Oryctolagus cuniculus: one gene and its partners. The protein of the gene in region 1 purifies or fractionates together with the protein of each later gene. This does not show direct contact. Links are inferred from orthologs where the notes say so. Each region holds a gene or a part of one and is shown in the gene's direction. Other genes may lie near its edges.

What was found.
Region 2: the proteins of CTNNB1 (region 1) and CTNNA2 purify together in Homo sapiens (co-immunoprecipitation; 5 studies listed by BioGRID and IntAct, with this or other methods). This does not show direct contact. The link is inferred for Oryctolagus cuniculus from reciprocal best matches to the Homo sapiens genes CTNNB1 and CTNNA2.
Region 3: the proteins of CTNNB1 (region 1) and CDC73 purify together in Homo sapiens (affinity purification with western blotting; 3 studies listed by BioGRID and IntAct, with this or other methods). This does not show direct contact. The link is inferred for Oryctolagus cuniculus from reciprocal best matches to the Homo sapiens genes CTNNB1 and CDC73.
Region 4: the proteins of CTNNB1 (region 1) and USP4 purify together in Homo sapiens (affinity purification with western blotting; 3 studies listed by BioGRID). This does not show direct contact. The link is inferred for Oryctolagus cuniculus from reciprocal best matches to the Homo sapiens genes CTNNB1 and USP4.
Region 5: the proteins of CTNNB1 (region 1) and EGFR purify together in Homo sapiens (affinity purification with western blotting; 4 studies listed by BioGRID and IntAct, with this or other methods). This does not show direct contact. The link is inferred for Oryctolagus cuniculus from reciprocal best matches to the Homo sapiens genes CTNNB1 and EGFR.
Region 6: the proteins of CTNNB1 (region 1) and FBXW2 purify together in Homo sapiens (affinity purification with western blotting; 4 studies listed by BioGRID). This does not show direct contact. The link is inferred for Oryctolagus cuniculus from reciprocal best matches to the Homo sapiens genes CTNNB1 and FBXW2.
Region 7: the proteins of CTNNB1 (region 1) and DDX5 purify together in Homo sapiens (affinity purification with mass spectrometry; 3 studies listed by BioGRID, with this or other methods). This does not show direct contact. The link is inferred for Oryctolagus cuniculus from reciprocal best matches to the Homo sapiens genes CTNNB1 and DDX5.

What each region holds. Positions count from the first base shown.
Region 1 is NC_091441.1:106,476,750-106,480,249, reverse strand, and holds part of CTNNB1 (catenin beta-1), read left to right. Parts: intron 1-167; coding exon 168-271; intron 272-348; coding exon 349-687; intron 688-911; coding exon 912-1,070; intron 1,071-2,733; coding exon 2,734-2,853; intron 2,854-3,073; coding exon 3,074-3,224; intron 3,225-3,317; coding exon 3,318-3,439; intron 3,440-3,500. UniProt on the Homo sapiens protein: Key downstream component of the canonical Wnt signaling pathway.
Region 2 is NC_091433.1:122,032,543-122,034,860, reverse strand, and holds the end of CTNNA2 (catenin alpha-2), read left to right. Parts: intron 1-641; coding exon 642-929; 3' UTR 930-1,818; downstream 1,819-2,318. UniProt on the Homo sapiens protein: May function as a linker between cadherin adhesion receptors and the cytoskeleton to regulate cell-cell adhesion and differentiation in the nervous system. Required for proper regulation of cortical neuronal migration and neurite growth.
Region 3 is NC_091444.1:9,863,496-9,866,995, forward strand, and holds part of CDC73 (parafibromin), read left to right. Parts: intron 1-1,553; coding exon 1,554-1,770; intron 1,771-3,500.
Region 4 is NC_091441.1:99,898,335-99,902,305, forward strand, and holds the start of USP4 (ubiquitin carboxyl-terminal hydrolase 4), read left to right. Parts: upstream 1-1,171; 5' UTR 1,172-1,251; coding exon 1,252-1,352; intron 1,353-3,475; coding exon 3,476-3,603; intron 3,604-3,971.
Region 5 is NC_091447.1:57,841,134-57,844,633, forward strand, and holds part of EGFR (epidermal growth factor receptor), read left to right. Parts: intron 1-227; coding exon 228-379; intron 380-1,195; coding exon 1,196-1,379; intron 1,380-3,020; coding exon 3,021-3,155; intron 3,156-3,500. UniProt on the Homo sapiens protein: Receptor tyrosine kinase binding ligands of the EGF family and activating several signaling cascades to convert extracellular cues into appropriate cellular responses.
Region 6 is NC_091432.1:224,702,512-224,706,011, reverse strand, and holds part of FBXW2 (F-box/WD repeat-containing protein 2), read left to right. Parts: intron 1-1,337; coding exon 1,338-1,532; intron 1,533-3,500. UniProt on the Homo sapiens protein: Substrate-recognition component of the SCF (SKP1-CUL1-F-box protein)-type E3 ubiquitin ligase complex.
Region 7 is NC_091448.1:14,232,431-14,234,681, forward strand, and holds the end of DDX5 (probable ATP-dependent RNA helicase DDX5), read left to right. Parts: intron 1-597; coding exon 598-822; intron 823-1,045; coding exon 1,046-1,449; 3' UTR 1,450-1,751; downstream 1,752-2,251. UniProt on the Homo sapiens protein: Involved in the alternative regulation of pre-mRNA splicing; its RNA helicase activity is necessary for increasing tau exon 10 inclusion and occurs in a RBM4-dependent manner. Binds to the tau pre-mRNA in the stem-loop region downstream of exon 10.

The sequences.
Region 1 (3,500 bases):
AGAGAGGAAGGGAACAGTAGCTGTTTGACAGAATGTCACTAATGAAATAAAGTGGAATAGAAAGGGACCGGATATAAACACTCAGGGAGGGACTACAGAGGGTGTTTAGGACTGATGGGGATGTTGAGCCTACTAGCCACTGCCGTATCTGCTTTGTAATTGTCCAGGAGGAATGCAAGCCTTAGGACTTCACCTGACCGATCCTAGTCAACGTCTCGTTCAGAACTGTCTTTGGACTCTTAGGAATCTTTCAGATGCTGCAACTAAACAGGTAAATCCTAAGGAAACTGTGCTTTTGTGATGAAATCAAAGGGAATGTGTACCAAGCCTCTGTTTTTATCTCCACAGGAGGGGATGGAAGGGCTTCTTGGGACTCTTGTTCAGCTTCTGGGTTCAGATGATATAAATGTGGTCACCTGTGCAGCCGGAATTCTTTCTAACCTCACTTGCAATAATTATAAGAACAAGATGATGGTGTGCCAAGTGGGTGGTATAGAGGCTCTTGTGCGCACCGTCCTTCGTGCTGGGGACAGGGAGGACATCACGGAGCCTGCCATCTGTGCTCTCCGTCATCTGACCAGCCGACACCAGGAAGCGGAGATGGCCCAGAATGCTGTTCGCCTTCACTATGGACTGCCAGTTGTGGTGAAGCTCCTGCACCCGCCATCCCACTGGCCTCTGATAAAGGTAAAACATCAACAAGGTAGAATGCTGCTGAACTGGAAATGACCTGCCTCTAACTATAGGATGGATATCTACGCCAAGGGGTTGATAAATAGGAATTACATTTCTTAGTAATAAATGTGGCTGGGGACAGGTAGGATTCTGAAGTGTTGGCGTATAGATTTAGTGTGGTGGGAAACTTCGGGTAAGAAAATGATTGTGTTGAGTTGTATTTTTCTTACCTGCAGGCTACTGTTGGATTGATTCGAAATCTTGCCCTTTGTCCAGCCAATCATGCACCATTGCGTGAGCAGGGTGCCATTCCACGCCTAGTTCAGTTGCTGGTTCGTGCACATCAGGATACCCAGCGTCGCACATCCATGGGTGGAACACAGCAGCAGTTTGTGGTAGGTGAATCTTGGTAGAAAGGGCCAGCTAAGTCCAGAGGATCCTGAGCTACATGGCTTATTGGCTCTGCCAGTGCCCTTCTTGAGAGGAGTGTGAATGGCTAAAAAACCTGACAGTGTTGTGTGGGAGCAGAGATCCTGTGGACCTCACTGATGCTGCTTAGGCATGTGCTATGCATGATCAGCCTTTGAGTTTGGAAGTACTGGTACTCACCCAACACAGGCTCACCTCTTCAGGAAGGAAGTGTACTAGTTGAGTCATACTGTGAATAGAAGTCTCTCTGATGGAAGAGTTTCTTATCCCCCACTATAAGCTGAGTTTTGCACCAAAGTATTTGACAGGCCTTTTTACTCTCTCTTCCATGAGAGTTTTAACAACTGTTTTCATGAACTTAAAACTGTAATACTGAATTCAAAATAAGTAGTAGCATTTATGCAGTCTTGATCCATAATATTTTTAGCCTAAAGCTGTGATGTTGACTATTAAAACACATACTACACATGTAGTTAAACAAGGACACTTCTCACCTTTTAGACATTTTTTTAAAGACTCAAACCTTTTAAAAGTTTTCTCTAATTAGGCTCCTTTAAATAAGAAACATGGACCTTACCAGGACAGAGTTTGATAATCCCATTTTGCCAGTAGGTCTGTGTGCGTGTGCACTCATTTGCACTCCGGCTTTGGCTTTCTGTTCACTGCTTTTGGTGTTAGCCCATCTCCATAGAGTGCCTTAATAGAATGCCAAAGAATATCTTGTCTGGTTTTTTGAATCTCAGAGATTTTGTGTCCTCACGAAAAGTCAAGTTTCTATTTTTAAAACGCCACTAAAAGTATTAGAATGATAACGGAAAGAAAAACCACTCAAACAGGAAGCAGATGGTACTTCATTTGTAGAAGCTAACATCCTTCTTCACATCCAGGCTATCTGTTGAATGGCCGTAGGAGAATCGCCTGCAGAGTAGGGTTTCTTGTGATGAAACTTTGTTCACCAAATACATGTAAACATACAGGACTAGAAGGGGCACATGCCGTAAAAACATAGTTTGAACATCACTTCCCATCCACGTATCTTCTCTGTTTATATACTTTTTAGTCAAAATGATCAGTGCCCTTTTGTAAGAAAGTTACTTTGGGATTCAGAGGTCCATGGGAATTGTACAGTTAGCCCTTAGTATCTGAAGGAGATTGGTTCCAGGACCCTCTCTGGATACCAAAACCCACAGATGCTCAAGTAATGCATGTCCTCCTATATATTTGAAGTCATCTCCAGATTCCTTATATTATCAGTATAGTATAAATCATTGTTATACTTTGTTCTCTTTATAATTCCCTAAACAATAAAGTCTAAATAGTTCACCGTAGATGCAGGTTTTTTTCCTTTTAATAGTTTTGGTCTGTAGTTGATTGAATGTGGATTTGGAACCCAAGGATACAAGGCCGACTATACTTTGCGTATCACAGAGGGGTGTTGCTTACCAGTAGTGCCACTAGGAAGCCTCCTTTTGGTGACATTCAGGTGAATGGGAATCCTCCTTTATTCCTGCACTAACCAAAAATTACGGGGAGCTTTGGGCAACTGTAGTCTAGTAATTGCTGCTCAGAACCATTTACAGACTTTAAAGAGAAGACTGTCCTGTTGGTTAACCATGTTTCTTCTGGTAGGAGGGAGTCCGCATGGAAGAAATAGTGGAAGGTTGTACGGGAGCCCTTCACATCCTAGCTCGGGATGTTCATAACCGAATTGTAATCAGAGGACTAAATACCATTCCACTATTTGTGCAGGTATGTTGATTTTTAAATGAGGTGTTCTAGATTTTACATGTCTAAAATTTCATTGTGTTTCAGAAAATTAGGGACCAGAAAGATAGGGGAACTAACATTTAATTTTATGAAAATTGCCCCCTCACACACCCATTTTTTTGGTCAGTAGAAAGGAAAACATTGGGACTATAGCCTGTGTTTTAACTCTGGGTTTTCATTAGGTTTTGTGTTTTCTCTTTAGCTGCTCTATTCTCCCATTGAAAATATCCAAAGAGTAGCTGCAGGGGTCCTCTGTGAACTTGCTCAGGACAAGGAGGCTGCAGAAGCGATTGAAGCGGAGGGAGCCACAGCGCCTTTGACAGAATTGCTTCACTCTAGGAATGAAGGTGTTGGTGAGTAGAAAAAGAACCAGGGCTGTGGTGGCTGTCGTGTATGGTGAAGTCTCACCTGTTCCTTAAGGACCTTTTGTTTCTGTCCTTTCCCAGCCACGTACGCCGCTGCGGTTTTGTTCCGAATGTCTGAGGACAAGCCACAGGATTATAAGAAGAGGCTTTCGGTGGAGCTGACCAGTTCTCTCTTCAGAACAGAGCCAATGGCTTGGAATGAGGTGGGCAGCTGTGTCCGCACGTGGAACTGGAGCCTGTAGAGCAGGGAAGGCAGCTTGCTCT
Region 2 (2,318 bases), on another chromosome or scaffold:
TCAGTGACTGTTCCCCAATTTATTAGACCCTGACACAATTACTGGTATTTATATAAGAATGATATTCATTATGTGGAAATAATTAAATGGATACTCAGAACTCCATAACCTAAGTAAGAAACAGAATACCCATGGGTCGTATCTATGCTTAACGGCTTTTATCTTCACTAATTCTGTGTCTAGGATAGGAAATGGTCTATGATAGAAAGGCATGTTCACCATTAGAGCCAGAGAAGTCCGAATATAACTCTTTATAGCATTTGATTCTTTAGTACCTGCTAAAGGCTTTTCAAACATTTTTGCTAATTAGGCTAATATAATAATATTGAGATATTTCACTTTAGCAAATTTTTGTCTAGGAATCACACATGTTAAAAAGGGTTTAGTGGTATTGAGATTTTAGAAAGCTATGAATCATAGACCAATCTTTTTTTTTTCTTTTTTCTTTGGGATTAAACATAGGAGAGGACAAGTGACTGATCTGTAGCCTATGTATCTTATCTTGTGCTAACTTGCTCCTTTTTGGTAATACTGTATACTTGTCCAAGCAAAACAGTGTTTGACTTGTGAAATTGTACCAACATGTTGTGCATTTGGGGACTCAGTTAACCCAGGTGTATTTTATTCTTCTCCCACTCTAGCTGGACAGTGCTACATCACTTATCCAGGCAGCTAAAAACCTGATGAATGCTGTTGTCCTCACGGTGAAAGCATCCTATGTGGCCTCAACCAAATACCAGAAGGTCTATGGGACAGCTGCTGTCAACTCACCTGTTGTGTCTTGGAAGATGAAGGCTCCAGAGAAGAAGCCACTTGTCAAGAGAGAAAAGCCTGAAGAATTCCAGACCCGAGTTAGAAGAGGTTCTCAGAAGAAACACATTTCGCCTGTACAGGCTTTAAGTGAATTCAAAGCAATGGATTCCTTCTAGGACGATAGGGTTTCGCAAGAGAGTTTTTTCTTTTTTTCTTTTCTTCTTTTCTTTTGAATTCCATTTTTGTATGCATACCTGCCGACTCGTATGCCTCTGGCATGGGGAAATTAAGGGAGCAGTATCTGTTTGCATGTAAGATGAGATGGGATCAATACTGCTGATCCATCTGTAGCCCTGGGAGGGGACAGGGGATTCCTGTCCCGAGGTAGCACAGAGCTGTCCTTTGCAAATTCTCATAAAGCTGGGCAAAGAGTTCCCATCACAGTGTTCATGGGAGCGGGAGGGAGGGGGAAAATAAACTTAACTAAAAGAGCAAACTCTAATGCATGCAAGAATCATTAGGTTGGCAGGTATATTCATAAGTGAAAAATCTGGAAGTGTAATGGTAGAACATAAAACTTGTATTGCTTCTGTTTCAGTGCAAAAATGTACTAGCCAATACGCTTAAATGTGTGGCCCACAAATTGAACAATTTATCCTTGAAGTCATATCCATGATATTAAGTGGATTTTTATCGGAGAGGAAACTAACTAGTCCAGAATAAAGTGCTTCTTTTAATCTGCATTCTGTTCTTTTCCAGTAGTGCCATTACTAGTGCTCATGTTATAATTTTTCCCCTTTACTGAAAACAATAAACATTTGTTTGAGATAATTAAAATCATTCTGGGGGCACTGGAAGCACAATATGGTGATCAATCTTGTGTTTTTCTTTTTTAATTTAAACTATGATTTTGCTAGAAATAGAAAGCCCAATGGTGGAGTGTTAGCAGAATGGAAACTGACCATGTTTGAAGGTTTAGAGGCAAATACATAGGTGTAGCTTGGAGTGCTGGTATCTAACATACCGTTGTATCCACTAACTCAAAATAAACACATTTAATCTTGACATCTGAAAAATGTTTTCATTCTTTAAATGCCTACTTAATAAATTAGAGCATCTTCTTAAAATTGATTCAAATGCGTTTTGTTTGGGTGTGTTTTGGAAATTACAGATAAAATCTGTGATTTCCAAATAATTCTCTCAGTCATCTTCAGAAAACAAAAAATTTTTTTTCATTTGTTTTAATTTACTTTCTAACTGAATCTAAAATGAGAAATTCTTTTATTAGAGTTTTCTGGGCCATGCGCAGCCTTGGGCGAAACTTAATGTGTTCTCAGAAACATAAACTGAAAAAAAATTGTAGAGAAGCACATTAATTTCAAACTATTTAATACATTTTAATTTTTCCCTAAATTGGAAAAAAACAGGGCCTCTGTCCCATAACCATGGAGGAGTGACTATAATCTTCCATCTGTGGACTAAAGAGTCTGAAAAAATAATCAAAACAATATTCACCTGAATGCTGCAAACTCTTCCCACTAGAGTCATAACTTCAGACAATCACA
Region 3 (3,500 bases), on another chromosome or scaffold:
GGGGAATAATATGCTTTCTAATGCCCTGAGAATATGAGGCTTTTAATCTGGATGGTGGGAACAGGTACTGTTCTTCACTCTGTGTAAGCACTGGGCATTGTTCTCTTTAATTCCATTGGATGATTGATTCTTTACCCAGCTTTAAATGATTTCGTTATCTTCATGTACTAATTGGTATTCTACTGGAATACTCCAAGGAATCTGTGTAGCTCTCTTCTCATGTGTTTTGTCCTGTGAATTCTCGCCACCTTGGTCTTGCTGTCGCCCCAGCTGCATTCCCTCAAATCGGGAGTTCTCTGAGGTCTTTGTGGGCTCTCTTCTTAATGCCCTATCTCGGAAGCCACCAAGGGCTCACCTTGTTGGTTTCTCATTTGTCAGGAAATCACTGTTCTACACTGTTTGATAATCTAATATCCTTTAAACCTGGTGTCTTGTCATTTTCACTGGTAATTTAAGACAGGAAGGTTAATCCTGTCACTCTGTTTTAGTGTGGCTGGAAATAAAGTCCAGTGATACCAAGTCCAGTGCAGGCTTGATTATAGTTTAGAAGAGCATTTGAACTTGACTCTAGGTGCTTTAGATTTTAGGGGAATGTTGCACAGTGTCACACAAAATGAGTCAGATACCACCATACCCATATTGATCATCTGCTATAAAGTATCTTCATACCTAATCTGAATAAAATTAGTTTACTTTATAATACTGCTGTATTTAAACCTGCAGGAATTTCTGTCCTTTTTCCAGATTTTGTGTAAACATATTTCAAGATTTTCATCTTGTGGCTAAAGTAATATTTTTGTCTACTCTTAATAAGGTACTCAAACACTTTTTAATTCTTTTTATCTTATTATATAAAAAGACACTTTGCTTAAGATTCATCTTACAAAATCTGTACTTTAAGTATTAAGTCGCTTTTTATACATAGTTCTGAAAATATAGCCTGTCTCTCTTTGCTGTTTTGGCTATTTGAAAATCAGATGCAGGGAAGATAAAGTGTTCAAACTATGGTTTCTTCCAGAGTTTAAAAGGGGTATGTGTTTCTGTGGTATATAAAAGCCTTTGTCACCTATGTATATGTTGTACCCTGTGACATACGGTTTTGAAACCTTGAAATAAATTTCAAGAAAACCTATAATTTTGAAGTCTTTATATAATGAATTTCATACTCCTCTTCTGGGACCCTCTTAACAACTGGCCTCGATATGTATGTTTATTTTCTGTGAATAGATGTGGGTTAACTAACAAAGTCTCAAAAAATACAAAGAAAACACTCATGTTAATGAGTTACTGCTCTTTTGGAGGGAAATGATAAATATAAAGACATTTGTTGCATTGTTTCTTCTGGAATTTATTAATTTACTCACAGTAGTATATCTGCATGAACCTTCTTTATGTGTTAAAATCTTGTAAGAGTACAAAATATGTCATTTTTATAGAAAGAAGGCTTTAATTGTTGTTACTTAAAGTGTTTTTACTAGAAAATTGTAACAATGTATTTGTGATGTGCTCAAGGAATTCTTGCTTTGAAAATTTAAAAAGGAATTTGATTTTAGGTCTTTATCTGAAGCCATGTCAGTGGAAAAAATTGCTGCAATCAAAGCCAAAATTATGGCTAAGAAAAGATCTACTATCAAAACTGATCTAGATGATGACATCACTGCCCTCAAACAGAGGAGTTTTGTAGACGCCGAGGTAGATGTGACTCGAGATATTGTCAGCAGGGAGAGAGTGTGGAGGACACGAACAACGATTTTACAGAGCACGGGAAAGGTAATAGAGGTTACTCATTTCTTAGAGTGCCATGTCTGTGGTTAGTCTGTGATTGGTTATGGAATTGCTTAACATTTTTTATTAGAAGGAAGTTTGTAGTTTTCACTCTTCGAAAGAACAATAATAATACAGATTTCCAAGTGGTCATATTTGTCCTTGCATTCCTGAACGTGGCTGTCAGTCATTCAAGAAGTTGATAAAATCTGAATCAGAGCGCAAGCCTCTCCACATACCATTTGTAAATTAGAGTGACCCAGTTTTTTTTTGTTGTTGTTGTTGTTGTTGAAACCTCATGTCTTGGGCCGGCGCCGCAGCTCACTAGGCTAATTATCCTCCGTCTTGCGGCGCCGGCACACCGGGTTCTAGTCCCGGTCGGGGCGCCGGATTCTGTCCCAGTTGCCCCTCTTCCAGGCCAGCTCTCTGCTGTGGCCAGGGAGTGCAGTGGAGGATGGCCCAGGTGCTTGGCCTCTGCACCCCATGAGAGACCAGGAGAAGCACCTGGCTCCTGCCTTTGGATCAGTGCAGCGCGCTGGTCACAGCAAACCGGCTGCGAGGGTGAACCAACGGCAAAGGAAGACCTTTCTCTCTGTCTCTCTCTCTCTCACTGTCCACTCTGCCTGTCCAAAAAAAAAAAAAAGAAACCTCATAACCTCATGTCTGGAGGGTTTTATGGCAAGCTCTTTGGTCATCAGAGCTGATATCATGAATTTTTTCTACATAAAGTAGAGAATCAGTCAGCAGACATTTATTGAGTATATTTTATACTTTATTGTGGATGTAGGACTTTCTATTTTTTTGCTTCTTCACTATGGGAGCTATTTTGTTGTTTTTGCTCCAAGACTGTGGGGTTTTCCTCTCTCTCTTTGTCCGCTGCCTCTTTTCTTCCTTGGTTCCCTCCCACTTCCTCCCCTTTGATTTTTCCTTCCTCCTCCTTCCTTCCCTTTCACTATTACAAATAATGCTTTAAAAGACATTCTTACACATATATAACTTTGTTCAGTTATGTGACTAGTAAAGGATTAAAATGAATTTCTGGTTAAAGGAGATGTGCAGTTTAAGAAAATTTTTTTATTTGAAAGGCAGAGTTTTAGGGAGTGACACAGAGAGACTGATTGATTGATCTCCAATCCCTGGTTTATTACCCAAATGGCCACAGCAGCCAGGGCTGTGCCAGGCGAAAGTCAGGAGCTTCATCCGGGTCTCCCATGTAGGCCACAGGGGCACAAACTCTTTCCCAGGTGCATTGACAGGGAGCCAGCTTGAAGTGGAGCAGCTGGAATTCACACCAGTGCTCATATGGGATGTTGCTGTTTCAGGCGGAGGCTTACCCCACTGCTCCACAGCACTGGCCCTGAGATGTACACTTCAGACCTTGAAAGATAACATGAATTTCTGCAAAGGAAACATTGATTCTGTCTCATGTGTATATTTTCATCAGTCTTTCCTGTTCTACACCTCAGTTTTCTGTTAAACGTTCATTATCCTCTGATGTACGGTTGTTAAATGATCTAATTAAGAATATTTGAAGAATCATGGCAATTAGTGATGAGCTTCACTGTTCATCACTTCAGCATTCTTCTAGGCAGATTGATTTTGATTGTAGAATTTTGAGATTTTAGTCTGAAATTTACTCTGACATTGTAAGAATAAAGCTACTAGAGAAGAGTGTTTAAAAAATGATTTATTTTTGGAGGGAAGGGTAGCCCACATTGTAGCTTAGTAGGCTAAGC
Region 4 (3,971 bases), about 6.6 Mb from region 1:
CACCCTCCCCAGAGGTCCCCGAGGGCCTCCCGGGGTGCACCACTGCCGGTGCGGGTGCGAAGCCCCTCGGCCATTCCCTCTGCTGCACACCTCCTCCAACAGGTGGGGCGTGGGGCTCCCCCAGCCTTCCTTAGAAATGCAGGACCAGCTTAGCCTGCCCACGCCCACTCTGATACTGTCCTGCTGTTCCAGAAGTTCTCAGCCTGCCCTCCTGTAACATGCGGGTGCAGCTCTCTGCTTCCAACACTTCCTTCAAGATCCCACTCATCCTGCTGAAAGTCAAGGCTGGGCTTGCGCCTGGCACTCCTACAGCCTGGGGTTCACACCCCGTAATGGCATTTGCCAAACACTGGAGCGATGTGCGGACGGTCTGTTCACTAGATTCTACGAGGGCAGGAACTGCTGGGCAAGCGAACGGCCAGTGCCTGGCCTCCTTGCTCTGGGTTCACTTCTCCCTCCGGGAAGACGGTGTTTTTCTGTGCGCGGGATCGAGTGTTTGGAACAGATGCCGGCGCACCTAACCAGGAGACCGCATCTGGAGCTCCCTTCTTCCCCAGCTGCTATCGCCCCTCCGTGGCTGCTGGCCTCGCCGACAAGGCCCAGTGGCCCAGCGCACAGCGCTGCGGGGCCCTGGCCACCGGCCAAGAGATTCCGCCGTCCAATGAGGGCACAGTGCACGCACGGTCGGTCCCGAGGAGTCGGTGCACCTGGCGCTCCCAAGCCCCCCGGAGGGATCTCGGGGCAGGAACACAGGTTTGGGCCGCTGAGGTCCCCAGCTGAAAGCGGAAATGGTGCGAGTGAGAACGAGAAAACTTAGTTCCAGGGTTTCTTGAACCGGGCCTGCCTTTGTTTAGGAAAAAGATAACGCCTTAGGCTAGGATGGGGTGCCCGAGAGGTCGTGGGGTGTTCCTTCAGGTCATCGGGCTGGACAGCGCCTCGGAGGCCAAGCGGGCGCCACTCTGAGCAGAGGAAGGCGTGCCTGACGGGCACCAGGCGGGCAGCTCGTGATAGGTGTGGCAGGTAGCGCAGGAGGAAGTGGCAGCCTCGGTTGACCCCACCCCACCCCCGCTCCACTGCGCATGCGTGGGAGGGGTGCGTGGGGGCGGGGAGAACCTGGGCGAGGGCGCGGCGCAAGGTGGGGCTGACGCGCGCACACGGGCGTGCGTGCGTGCGTGCGTGCGTGGGCGCGGCCCATAGCGCGGCGTGCGTGGGGCGGATGTCCGGGCCGGCTGGGCCGGGGCCGCGGACGAGATGGCGGAAGGCGGAGGTTGCCGTGAGAGACCGGATGCGGAGACCCAGAAGTCCGAGCTCGGGGCCCTCATGAGGACCACGCTCCAAAGGGGGGCGCAGTGGTGAGCAGCGGCCCCTCCCTTCCCCGGCGTAGAACTGGGGGCCGGGGCGCTGATCTTAAGGGCAGGCTCCCTTTTCTCGACTTGGATAGGAGTCGGGCGGGGGCGGTGTCCGATGACCCTCAAAGAGTGTCCTGACACCCGCCCTTGGGGAGTGAAACCCCAGGGTCAACTCGGGGAAAACGCAGGTGGGACTGGAGGTGGTCCCGGCCGGTTCGGAGTCCCAGGGGGCGGGTCCGGCGGCTATCCGCGCTGCAGGGTTTAAGAGAAGGGGAATGCTCCTCAGGGGTGTGGTGCGAGCCCTTGCCACCAAGTTCTCACCTTGTGACCTTGGGCCGAGGTGTCCAGCCCTCGCAGACCCTAATGCCTTACTGTTGAAACCCACCGGCTCAGTGGGTTGAGGCGAAGATCAGAAGTAGGTACTTTGTAACTTGTAAACTGCCAAGAAGATTTCAAGGGCAGACGTTAATCAAATGCCTGGAACCCCAGATTATTTTGGTATCAAATGTAAAAAATAACTGTGGCAGCAGAGCCTCCAGGCGGGAGAGGAGGGTGGCCCAGATCCCGGAGCTCCACAGAATGAAAAGTGCAAGGTTTAGAAGAGCCAGGCTGAGATAGGCGGGGATTAGACCAGGGGACTTCGTAGAGCTCAAAGAAACGTTGCATTGTTTTCAGATTTCATTTTTTCATGAATTGCTTGTTTGATGCACCCTCATACTGTCCACCAGGAGAGTGAGTCCTAGGTGGTGTTACTTGTGGGAGTAAAACACTAGGCTTTGCCTTGTGTATCACTGAGCGCTGTCTGTCTTTATCAGACCAGCAGAGAAGGGGAAACATTGGAAACAGGAGGAGTTCTGATAGGGGTTTTAAAAAAAAATAACATTGTGTGACCTGTGGAGTGACAGAGGGAGAGATAGATAGGGAGAGATGGCTTCCGTTCATCATTCCCCAGATGGTTGCATCCTCTGGGACTGCTCCAGGCTGAAGGTAGGAGTGCGGAACTCCACTGGGGGCTCTGACAAGTGTGGCAGGGACCCAGCACCTGGGCCATCTGCTGCTGCCTTCCTAGGAAGGTGAGCAGAGTAGCCGGGCTGGAATTGGTGCTGTCGTGTGGGATGCCAGCGTCACAAGTGGCAGCGTAGCCTGCTGTGCCTCAGCGCTGGCCTCACCAGTATAGTTGTGGTACTTCGCTGTCCCCCGGGGTTTTCTCCCTCCTGTCTGAATTTAAAGCAGCCTAGTGATGTGCTTAAAATAGGATGAGATTGGCTTGTAGTAATTAAGCATAAAAAGTATTGAGTGTCAAACACAACTTAATGCTTTTTGACAAGGTGACCTGACCTAGACACTGGTATAAGTGTGTGTGGCTGGGTACACACATGCGCTGTACATTTAGGGATATCTAACATGATCCTCAAAGGGAAACTGGAGTGGTAGTATTCCACTTATAGAAAGAAAGAAACTAGTTTAATGCTGTTCATGTTGAGCAAAGCAGAATAACCAGACTGCCTGCCTGGACACAGGCCTTTATCAAGATCACTGTCAAATTAATAACTTGTTTAATAGCAGGCGTGATTTTATGCATAGAAAGACTCCATTTACATAACCATTTTGAAGCTGATTTTTTCCTCCGTTTTATTTATTCTGTTTTTAAGAGTTGTTTCACTTAATGGATGCTTGCCCAGGGCCAGGCCCTTTGGTACCATTTTTTTTTTTTTTAGTGGGAATTACTTGTTCCCTATGTTTAAGGCTATAAAAAAATATTAAGGGAGGGGCCAGCATTGTGGCACAGTGGGTTCATCTGCCGCCTGCAGTGCCAGCATTCCATATGAGAGTACTGGTTTGAGTCTTAGCTGCTTCGCTTCTGATCTAGCTCCCTGCTAATGTACTTGGGGTAGCAGCAGAAGATGGTCCTAGTACTTGGGAGACTTGGCTAGAGTGCCAGACTCCTAGCTGTGGCCTGACTAGCCCCAAATATAGAAGCCATTTGGTGAGTGAGCCACCCTCTCTATCACTCTGCCTTTCAAATGAATAAAATAAAACTTAAAAAATAAAAAAAGGTATAAGAAAGCAGCTGCAAAAACTTACAACCCTAGCTTTTCTGCTTCTTCAAATTTTTGTCTCTCTAGGTATCTCATTGACAGTCGGTGGTTCAAGCAGTGGAAGAAGTATGTGGGCTTCGACAGCTGGGATATGTATAATGTGGGTGAGCATAACCTGTTTCCCGGCCCGATAGACAACTCTGGACTCTTTTCAGGTACAGTACCTTTTCTAGCTAAATGTTCACCTGGGCGGTGGCCTGAAACCACATGTATGTGTAATGTGGACATTGTGAGCCTTTCTCGGTTTAAGGAGACGTAAACAAGTGTCCTCAGTTGGCATCTGTCGCCTAAGGCTTTGCAGACCTGTAGGGTGAAGTTAAGCAGCTTTTTTACCTAAATAACTGCATCTAGCAATAGCATCCTTCCAATGTTTTAAATCCCTGTCTCTCTCTTTCCCTGCAAATGTGTTCTCAGATTAGTATTTGGGATGGTAAGAAGTAAAGTATCGTTTTTAAACTGCATCTGAAATTTGGGAAGCAGAATTTTTTGTTACCTTCTCAGTGGAACAAGTTGTAGACGTGTC
Region 5 (3,500 bases), on another chromosome or scaffold:
TGTAACATTTCTTTGTGCTGTGAATTTAAGAATAAACTGCCTCCTGCTTATTCTTATTCTGCGTTGCATTTTCTGTTAACTTAAGCACCCTTCATGGTACTCACTCTTAGTGTCCTTGATCAGAGTTGATGTTGAAAGTCACTGAAGGTCCCCATGTGTGCAAACATAGCTTTGCCTGGGTTTTGCCCTTCCACTCAATGTCGTATATGGTCTCTCTCCCTCCCTAGTTTGCCAGGGCACAAGCAACAAGCTGACCCAGCTCGGCCCTTTTGAGGACCACTTCCTGAGCCTGCAGAGGATGTTCAACAGCTGTGAGGTGGTGCTGGGGAACCTGGAGATCACCTACGTGCAGAGGAACCACGACCTCTCCTTCTTAAAGGTTGGTTGTGTGGCTTTGTTTCCCACACAAATGCCATGGCAGGACAGGTGAGGGATGTACAGCTTGGCTGAATTTAACTTGAAGTTTACATTCACTCTGGGGTATTGAAAGTGAGAGTGGCATCAAAAAGAAGGCAGCCTCAGTGGCATCACAGCTGGGACAGGAGATTATGGCTCTAGCATGCTGTACACTGACAAGAGCCCTGAGTGTTGCTTCTGCCTGGGGTACTGGTGCTGTGGCTCTCAGAGAAAGTGGTCCTGTTCTGTCTCGTGTGCCTGTTGCCTTGGGGTAAATGTTCCCACCATGGCTCCATTTTGAGCTCCCATGAGCTTTACAGCCATTCACGAAACTTCCATAGGCTCCAAGGAGCTGGGATGAACCCCCTTCCCACACAGAAGGCTTCAGAGAATTCTTTGTCTCAGGTGAGACACACTCTGAGTGATCGTTCCATCAATGTTGGTGGCAGTGAAGCTGTGCTGAACTTGCTTGACCCCATTCTGCTCTGGGCGTCCTGTAAATGAGGCATCATGTGAGAAGGATGTAAAAGGCAGTTGTAAATGTGCCAACTCTGTCGAGTGCAGAGCGAGAGCTGTAGTGTTGCTTGGCTACACACACCACTGTGGATTAAGGCTTCGCAGATGCTCCAGGCCCTTCCCCCCCTTTCCCAGATTCTAATCCCCTACTTGTCTTACACCTGACGGCCACTCCTGTGCGTCTTAATTCAGTCAGGTGCCCTGGGCTTCAGGACTCCTTTTAGACCCTGAATTCCTGAGCTCCTCAGAAGAGAAGCACCGTGCTCATGTTTTGTCCTCTCAGACCATCCAGGAGGTGGCTGGCTACGTGCTCATTGCCCTCAACACCGTGGAGAGCATCCCTTTGGAGAGCCTGCAAATCATCCGAGGAAACGTGCTGTATGAGAACACCTACGCCTTAGCCGTTCTGTCCAACTACGGAGCCAACAAGACCGGGCTGAGGGAGCTGCCCATGCGGAACTTGCAGGGTGAGCAGGTGCCGTGGGAGGTCGCAAAGGCAGGGGGTCTCTGAGCCGGTCACCTTCCTTAGTGCCACCTCAGAGAAGACTTGCACTCATCAAGTCACACATGTAGTAGTGCTAGCCACACGCCAGACAACAGGTGTAAACTAGGCACAGTAAGCCATTAGCAACACCAGTGATACAATAGAAGGGTACCAGTGGTAGCGATACACAGTAACGAGCTGTGTGTGCCCGCAGGACCAGGCACTCCCCTCCTCCCTCCCAGTGTCTTGTTGAGCACAGGTAACTGTGACTGCAAATAGGAGGGACGCGTGCATGTTCGAGGCCACTGCACACTGGGTCTTAAGCAGCGCTGCCCTAGGAATTCAGGCTGAAGTTCAGGGTAGGCAGCAGAGGTTTCAGTCTGATACTTGCAAGGCCACTGTGAGATGCCTCTGTGCACGATGACGGGTTTTAAAGCTGGTGATAAATGTCACTCTGCATGCAGCAGCCATGCGAACTGCGCATATCCTTCCCTCTGGTAGGCACTGCAGTCCGCCGTCTCACAGAGAGAAGCAGGGGAGTTACTCGAGGGCTGCACTCTGCGAATCTCTGCCCCAGACTCCCACCCTTCCTGCTGCCCCCCAGGACAGGGATGCGATGAAAGCCAAGGCACAGAGTGGAGGAGTTGGGTCTGAACTTGCAGGGACGTAGTGGGAGCACAGGGCTGGGTCTGCTCCCTTCCAAAGCAGAGAGCAGAAGCAGCCTCTCCTTGCCTTCTTAGCCCATGGTTGCCATTCTGTGAATCCACCGTGAGCCTTCCCAGCCACTGCTTCAAGGCTCAGGTGCCCTCACACATGCCACCTTCATACCCTTTACTCCACTGGTACTAAGAGTGCGCTGGGTAAGCCTGGTACCTGTGCTGGGAATCTGAGTTTTCAAGGCTTGCAGGTGCCATCTGCCCTTCTCATCCTGTCCATCTGTCCATGGCTCACTCCAGCCTAGCCCATTCAACCCCCGAGGAACCACCCTACATGGCTCACTCCTCTGTGCTCTGCCCACTGATGGAGCCTGCCTCTTCCTTCCTTCCTCCTTCCCTGTGACTAAATTTTTGACCATTGGAGGCCACATTGAGGGCATCCTCTCTCCTCTATGGCACTGTCCTCAGATGAGTCCTGTTCTGCATCCAGGTTTCATAGGATTAGCCCTGGACTCCTGTTCCACAATATATCTTTTCTTTCTTTTTTTTTTTTTTTTTTTTAAGATTTTACTTATTTGACAGAGTTAGAGAGAGAGAGAGAGAGAGAGAGAGAAACGTCTTCCTTCTGTTGGTTCACTCCCCAAATGGCCGCAACAGCTGGAGCTGCGCCAATCCGAAGCCAGGAGCCAGGAGCTTCTTCCCTGTCTCCCACGTGGGTGCAGGGGCCCAAGCACTTGGGCCATCCTCCACTGCTATCCCAGGCCACAGCAGAGAGCTGGACTGGAAGAGGAGCGGCTGGGACTAGAACCGGCACCCACATGGGATGCCAGTGCCTCTGGCTGAGGGTTAACCTAGTGCGCCGTGGTGCCAGCCCCCACACTACATCTTTTCAACAGAATGTGAAATGCTAAGAAAGGCACGTGTGGTTCCTGAGGGGACGTTTCTCACTGAATCTCCTCCCCTTGCAGAAATCCTTCATGGAGCTGTGCGATTCAGCAACAACCCTGTCCTGTGCAATGTGGAGACCATCCAGTGGCGGGACATTGTTCACGGTGACTTTCTGAGCAACATGTCTCTGGACATGCAGAACCCCCTGGGCAGCTGTAAGTGTGTGCAAATCTTCTGTCTGCCAGCAACTGTGCTGGTAGGCAGAGCTGTACGTCAGTGGGGTGGGAGGAAGGAGACACACAAAGAATTAGTGCCTGTGCTCACTCAGGAACACACATGTAGGGCAGAGGAAACAGGGCCTTCTGTGGTGAGACTTGGACTGCAGAACAGAGCACCTCGGGATGGCCAGGCCCTGCTGTGGCCCTTTTGCAGAGGCCCTGGTACAGGGCCAGCTTCTCCCTTGCTGCTGAGTCTCAAAGTAGCACCCAGGCCAGCTGAAGCCTTGAGACTGACCTCTGTCCGTGGGAGGAAGTTTGTCCACTTTCCCTAGGTGCTTGGGA
Region 6 (3,500 bases), on another chromosome or scaffold:
ATTAGAATTCTCTTAGAGCCCTGTTTGTGTGTTTTGATAAAAGAACCCTCATGGTTCTGATCTCTCCTGTCCATTGAGAATCACCAGCCAAGTCTTACAAAATAGCAGGGTGACAAATACATTCATCATTTCAGTGTTCAAGCTCTTTCATAAGTGGTAACTATTTTTCATTTTCTGAAACAATGGCCCTTTATGAAAGGTGGAATTGTGGCTGACTTTGTGAAGTCTTTTCAGCTTTTAGAAAACTGATGATTTAGTGCTTTCCTAGGGTACTATGTTTTTATTATAGTACCGATGTCTTTTTCTTTATTGAGTTTTATTAAAGGTAAATTGTGAGACATGAGTTAGTTATTAGGATTTTAAACTTAATTAAAACCAAGTCTTGATTTTTTTTTTATGTTACCTCTAACAGTGCACATGTGGCTGAAAATCTTTATATCTTTGTTCCTTTTTTTTTTTAAAGATTTATTTTATTTATTTGAAAGACAGAGTTATAGAGAGAGGTATAGACAGAGAGGGAGAGGTCTTCCATCCGATGGTTCACTCCCCAGATGACCGCAACGGCTGGAGCTGCGCCGATCCGAAGCCAGGAGCCAGAAGCTTCTTCCAGGTCTCCCATGTGGGTGCAGGGGCCCAAGGACTTGAGCCATCTTCTACTGCTTTCCCAGGCCATAGCAGAGAGCTAGATTGGAAGAGGAGCAGCCGGGACTAGAACCGGTGCCCATATGGGATGCCGGCGCGTCAGGCCAGGGTTTTAACCCACTGCGCCACAGCGCCAGCCCCCAAGTCTTGATTTTTTTTAATTAATTAATTTATTTGGAAGGCAGAGTTACAGAGAGGCAGAGGCAGGGAGAGAGAGAGAAGTTTTTCATCTGCTGACTCACTCCCCAGATGGCTGCAGTAGCCAGGCTGGAGCTGGGCCAATGTGAAGCCAGAAGCCAGGAGCTTCTTCCAGGTCTCCCACGCTGGTGCATAGGCCCAAACAGTTGGGCCATCTTCCGCTGCCCTCCCAGGCCATAGCAGAGAGCTGGATCGGAAGAGGAGCAGCCAGGACTCAAACCGGCACCCATATGGGATGCCGGCACTGCAGGCAGCAGCTTTACCCGCTACACCACCATGCCAGCCCCCACAGTGCATTCAGTGCATTTGACACTGTTTTCATGACTTAGCAAGTCATGCAACTGGGACTCTTCGTTCTTTGGTTTTCTCAGCCATAAAGTCAAAGTGCTGGAAAAGGTGACCATTAATGTTCTCTTTTAAGAATACTTTGGTTTGAAGATTGACTTTGTCTTTTTAATATGCCTTTTCTTATTAACCTCCCTGTTTTTCTCTTGAAGGGTCAGATGACTTGTCTGCAAAGCTGTGGGATGTGAGCACAGGGCAATGTGTTTATGGCATCCAGACCCACACTTGTGCAGCAGTGAAGTTTGACGAGCAGAAGCTTGTGACAGGCTCCTTTGACAACACTGTGGCGTGCTGGGAGTGGAGTTCTGGAGCCCGGACCCAGCACTTCCGGGGGCACACGGGGGCGGGTGGGTTGCCCTTTTTCAAGGGTTTTTAAAATTGCTCTAACCTCATCTTTAAAGCCATAGGCCAAGAATGTGAAACTTTTTTCCTTTTCCATTTATCCCGTCTTTCCCCCTTCTTCTTCCTCAGGCACTGCAGTTGCTCCCTTTATTCCAGTTAGTCGTATATGGGATGCTCTCCCCACTTTTGCTCTTCCCCTCCTGGCCCATTTACAAATTCTATCTACTCTTACGTTGGGAAGGGTAGTTCTCCCTCCTTCCTATTTCATTTATATAATGTTGAACAGTCAGTCATCTTTGCTTTTATCAGATTCCCTATCTCCAAATTTGAGTAAGTCCTGTGCTTGTAAATTCAGACCACTTTATTTGTGGAATTAAAGCAGAAAATCCTTTGGAGTGATGGTGGTTCCCAGGTTGTGTGGTCTATAGATTACATCTGGTTGGAGCTTGATTAACATCTGATTAAAAGGTAACCACCTAGAGATAAACAGATGATTGCATAGTCCCTAAGAAATATACAGGAGCCTTATTTTGCAGAGAACTGACTTCTTTAATATAGCCTTGAGATTTGAACTTCTCTCTCTCCTGTATTTTGGAGCTTTGTGTGGAAATCGTATTAAGCTATTTCCCAGACTTCTGTGCTGCAGCTCCCTTCTTCTTTTTGCATTTGCCCACTGCTTTAGCCTCTGAGAATCAGTCTCCACTCTTAAGCATCACGTTTGTGAACAGTCCTCTGTGAACAGGTTGGGCCCTCTGCTGTAAGATGCCCAGAACACCCATCATGCAAATAAGGGTGGTAATCCCGATTCCTCCCGGACTGTAGCTCTGTAGGACAAGGGCCCTGCCTGGCTTGTTTACCCTTGTGTCTTGAGTTTCTTGTACTTTATGTGCCTAGTACTCAATATTCTTTAATGTAAACTCAGCTTTAGTCTTTGCTGTCTGCTACCAATCGCTGGTTTTAGAGATTGACATTTGAAGGTGTATGGCTTAGTATGGAACTTACATATTACAGAGTGTAGTATTCCACAGTGTCAAAATGTACCATGACTTCTAGTGATTTTATTCCTGATCAACTTCGATCTAAAAAATTTTCTACTTGCTGTTCCCTGGACATTGCTGCCGCTTATCTTAACTCCATGTTTTTGCTGACCCCTCTACCTGCAGTATTCTTTCTTTTCTTGATAAACTCTGCTCATCCTTCAGGGCTCATCACCGTTATTGCCTCTTCCCTGAAGTCCTCCCTGATACCCCTGGGCAGAGTTAGTCATTCTCCTTGGTGTTCCCCTAGCAAGAGGTAAACATTTATTTTTTTCTGGACTCCCTCCTCAATCCCTAACTTAGAGTGTGTTCCTTAATTAAAGAAAGGAACAGTATCATTGTCTCTGCGTCCTTGGTGTTCCTGTAGAGCCCGACAGACATTTAAAAACAAGTATTTGAGTACTGGCTCTACTGCAGACACTAACTTAGGTGCTGGGATAGAGCCATAAAGAAATTGAGCCACTGTTTTGAGTGAATGCCTTAGTGTGACCTTTGAGATTCCCCCTCCCCCTTTGATTCTCTTTACATTGGCCTTTCTTGAGTCTGGGTACTGTTTTGCAACTTATATTCTTTATGTTTTGTCTTACTGTCAGTGCGTATCTGAGCAGGGCCAGTTATATTCTGTTTTCCTGCATAAAGTAGATAGCTTTGTGTAGTGTCAGGCAGGCAGGCAGGCCTGAGAAGGGATACCAATATCTCCAGTACTGGTTTTGCCCTACTTGAAAGCAAATACAAATACAAGAAATTGTATTGTTTCTGGAATGTTCCAAGCTTAAAATAATCTGTAATAATAGCAACAGTTTTTTTCTTTTTTAAAAGCTTTATTTGTTTGAAAAGCAGAGTTACAGATAGGGAGAGACAGAGAGAGAGAGAAAGACACAGACAGAGAATCGATCTTCCATTTGCTGGTTCACCCCCCAAGATGGCTGCACGGCC
Region 7 (2,251 bases), on another chromosome or scaffold:
GAGAGAGACACATTCTCAAGTGAATCCTGGCTTCTTGGAAGCGCTTGCCTAGACGAGACACAGTGCATAAAAACAACTTTTGGGGGACAGGTATGTTTTTCTTGCAGCTGCGGTTGTAAGGTCTTGGCAAGACAAGCAGTGTGGCCTGAATTTTGAACTTCCGATGAGTGTGTAATGCAAAGGACCTTGTACATTTTTGTTTAAAGGTCCTCAAAATGAGCACATGAAGAGGTTGCTGTGAAACTTAAAAGTGGCCCTACTGCGCAGAAGCATTCAGATGTCACTTGATGATCTGTAAGGGGACGTGCTGAATTGGGAATGTGCTAGGGAACACACGTTCCTTTCGACAAGCTTTATCACTGGGTGGGCGATGGCTTGTACAGCTGATGTGTGCTTTTTTTTTTTTCCTCTTTTTTTTTTTTTTTTTTTTAAACTTGAATGGTATTCCTACAGGGAAAGGATAACCATTTTAACTGTATTTTTTGCAGCCCGTACCTTCTTGGGAATACAATTGTCTAACTTTTTATTTTTGGTCTGGCTGTTGTGGTGTGCAAAACTCCATACATTGCTATTTTGCCACACTGCAACACCTTACAGATGTGGAAGATGTGAAATTTGTCATCAATTATGACTACCCTAACTCCTCAGAGGATTATATTCATCGAATTGGAAGAACTGCTCGCAGTACCAAAACGGGCACAGCATACACTTTCTTTACACCTAATAACATAAAGCAAGTGAGCGACCTTATCTCTGTGCTTCGGGAAGCTAATCAAGCAATTAACCCCAAGTTGCTTCAGCTGGTCGAAGACAGAGGGGCAGGTAAGACTCGCCTTGAATTAGGTGGTTTCAGGTCACATCGTCTACAAATCCATTCAGGTGGGATTAGAGGGGGAATAAAATCTTGAATGTGAAACTTAATTTGAGAAATTGAAAAATACTTCCCACCCATGATTATGACTAGAATTACCTACTTTCTATATATTAGCAATAAATTGTGCCGCAGACATTAATAAGTTTGCAACATTTTTTTTTTTTTTGACAGGTCGTTCCAGGGGTAGAGGAGGCATGAAGGATGACCGTCGGGACAGATACTCTGCGGGCAAAAGGGGTGGATTTAATACCTTTAGAGACAGGGAAAATTATGACAGAGGTTACTCTAGTCTGCTTAAGAGAGATTTTGGGGCAAAAACTCAAAATGGTGTTTACAGTGCTGCAAGTTACACCAATGGGAGCTTTGGAAGTAATTTTGTGTCTGCTGGTTTACAGACCAGTTTTAGGACTGGTAATCCAACAGGGACTTACCAGAATGGGTATGATAGCACTCAGCAATATGGAAGTAATGTTCCAAATATGCACAATGGTATGAACCAACAGGCATATGCATATCCTGCTACTGCAGCTGCACCTATGATTGGTTATCCAATGCCAACAGGATATTCTCAATAAGACTTTAGAAGTATATGTAAATGTCTGTTTTTCATAATTGCTCTTTATATTGTGTGTTACCAGACAAGATAGTTATTTAAGAAACATGGGAAATGCAGAAATGACTGCAGTGCAGCAGTAATTATGGTGCACTTTTTCGCTATTTAAGTTGGATATTTCTCTACATTCCTGAAACAATTTTTAGGTTTTTTTTGTACTAGAAAATGCAGGCAGTGTTTTCACAAAAGTAACTGTACAGTGATTTGAAATACAATAAATGAAGGCAATGCATGGCCTTCCAATAAAAATATTTGAAGACTGAATTGGAAATTGTACTTTATTTTCCATATATAATGTCATGTAAAACTTTGCTTAGATGGTCTTTTTTATTTAAGTGACTAGTTTTCAATTTGGGAGGTTGTAGGGGAGGGGGGCAATAAGTAAGGCCCTTTGTGTAGTGATCTGGTCATATTGGAAGAATTAAAATGAGACTGATCTGGGTAAACATAGTTATAGGCTAAATTGCATAAGTTTTTGTTGGCAACTCCCAACATCAATGGGGTCATTTAATAATAGCCTATTTTCCTTACTTGTTAGAATGACTACATGAGATAGTAGATTGAGTATAGTAAGAACAACATGGATGACTGTTCGTTCCTTTTGCAAATTTATAATTTAAAAATTTCCAGTAATTTGCCTTTTCAGAAGATGATATTCTCTTCACTATATTCTAAACTACTGAAATGTTGAACAAAGCTGGAAAGCCCTTTAAGGGACTTGGCCAAGAGCTGCATTTGAGTCTGATGCTATTTGCACCACGTTC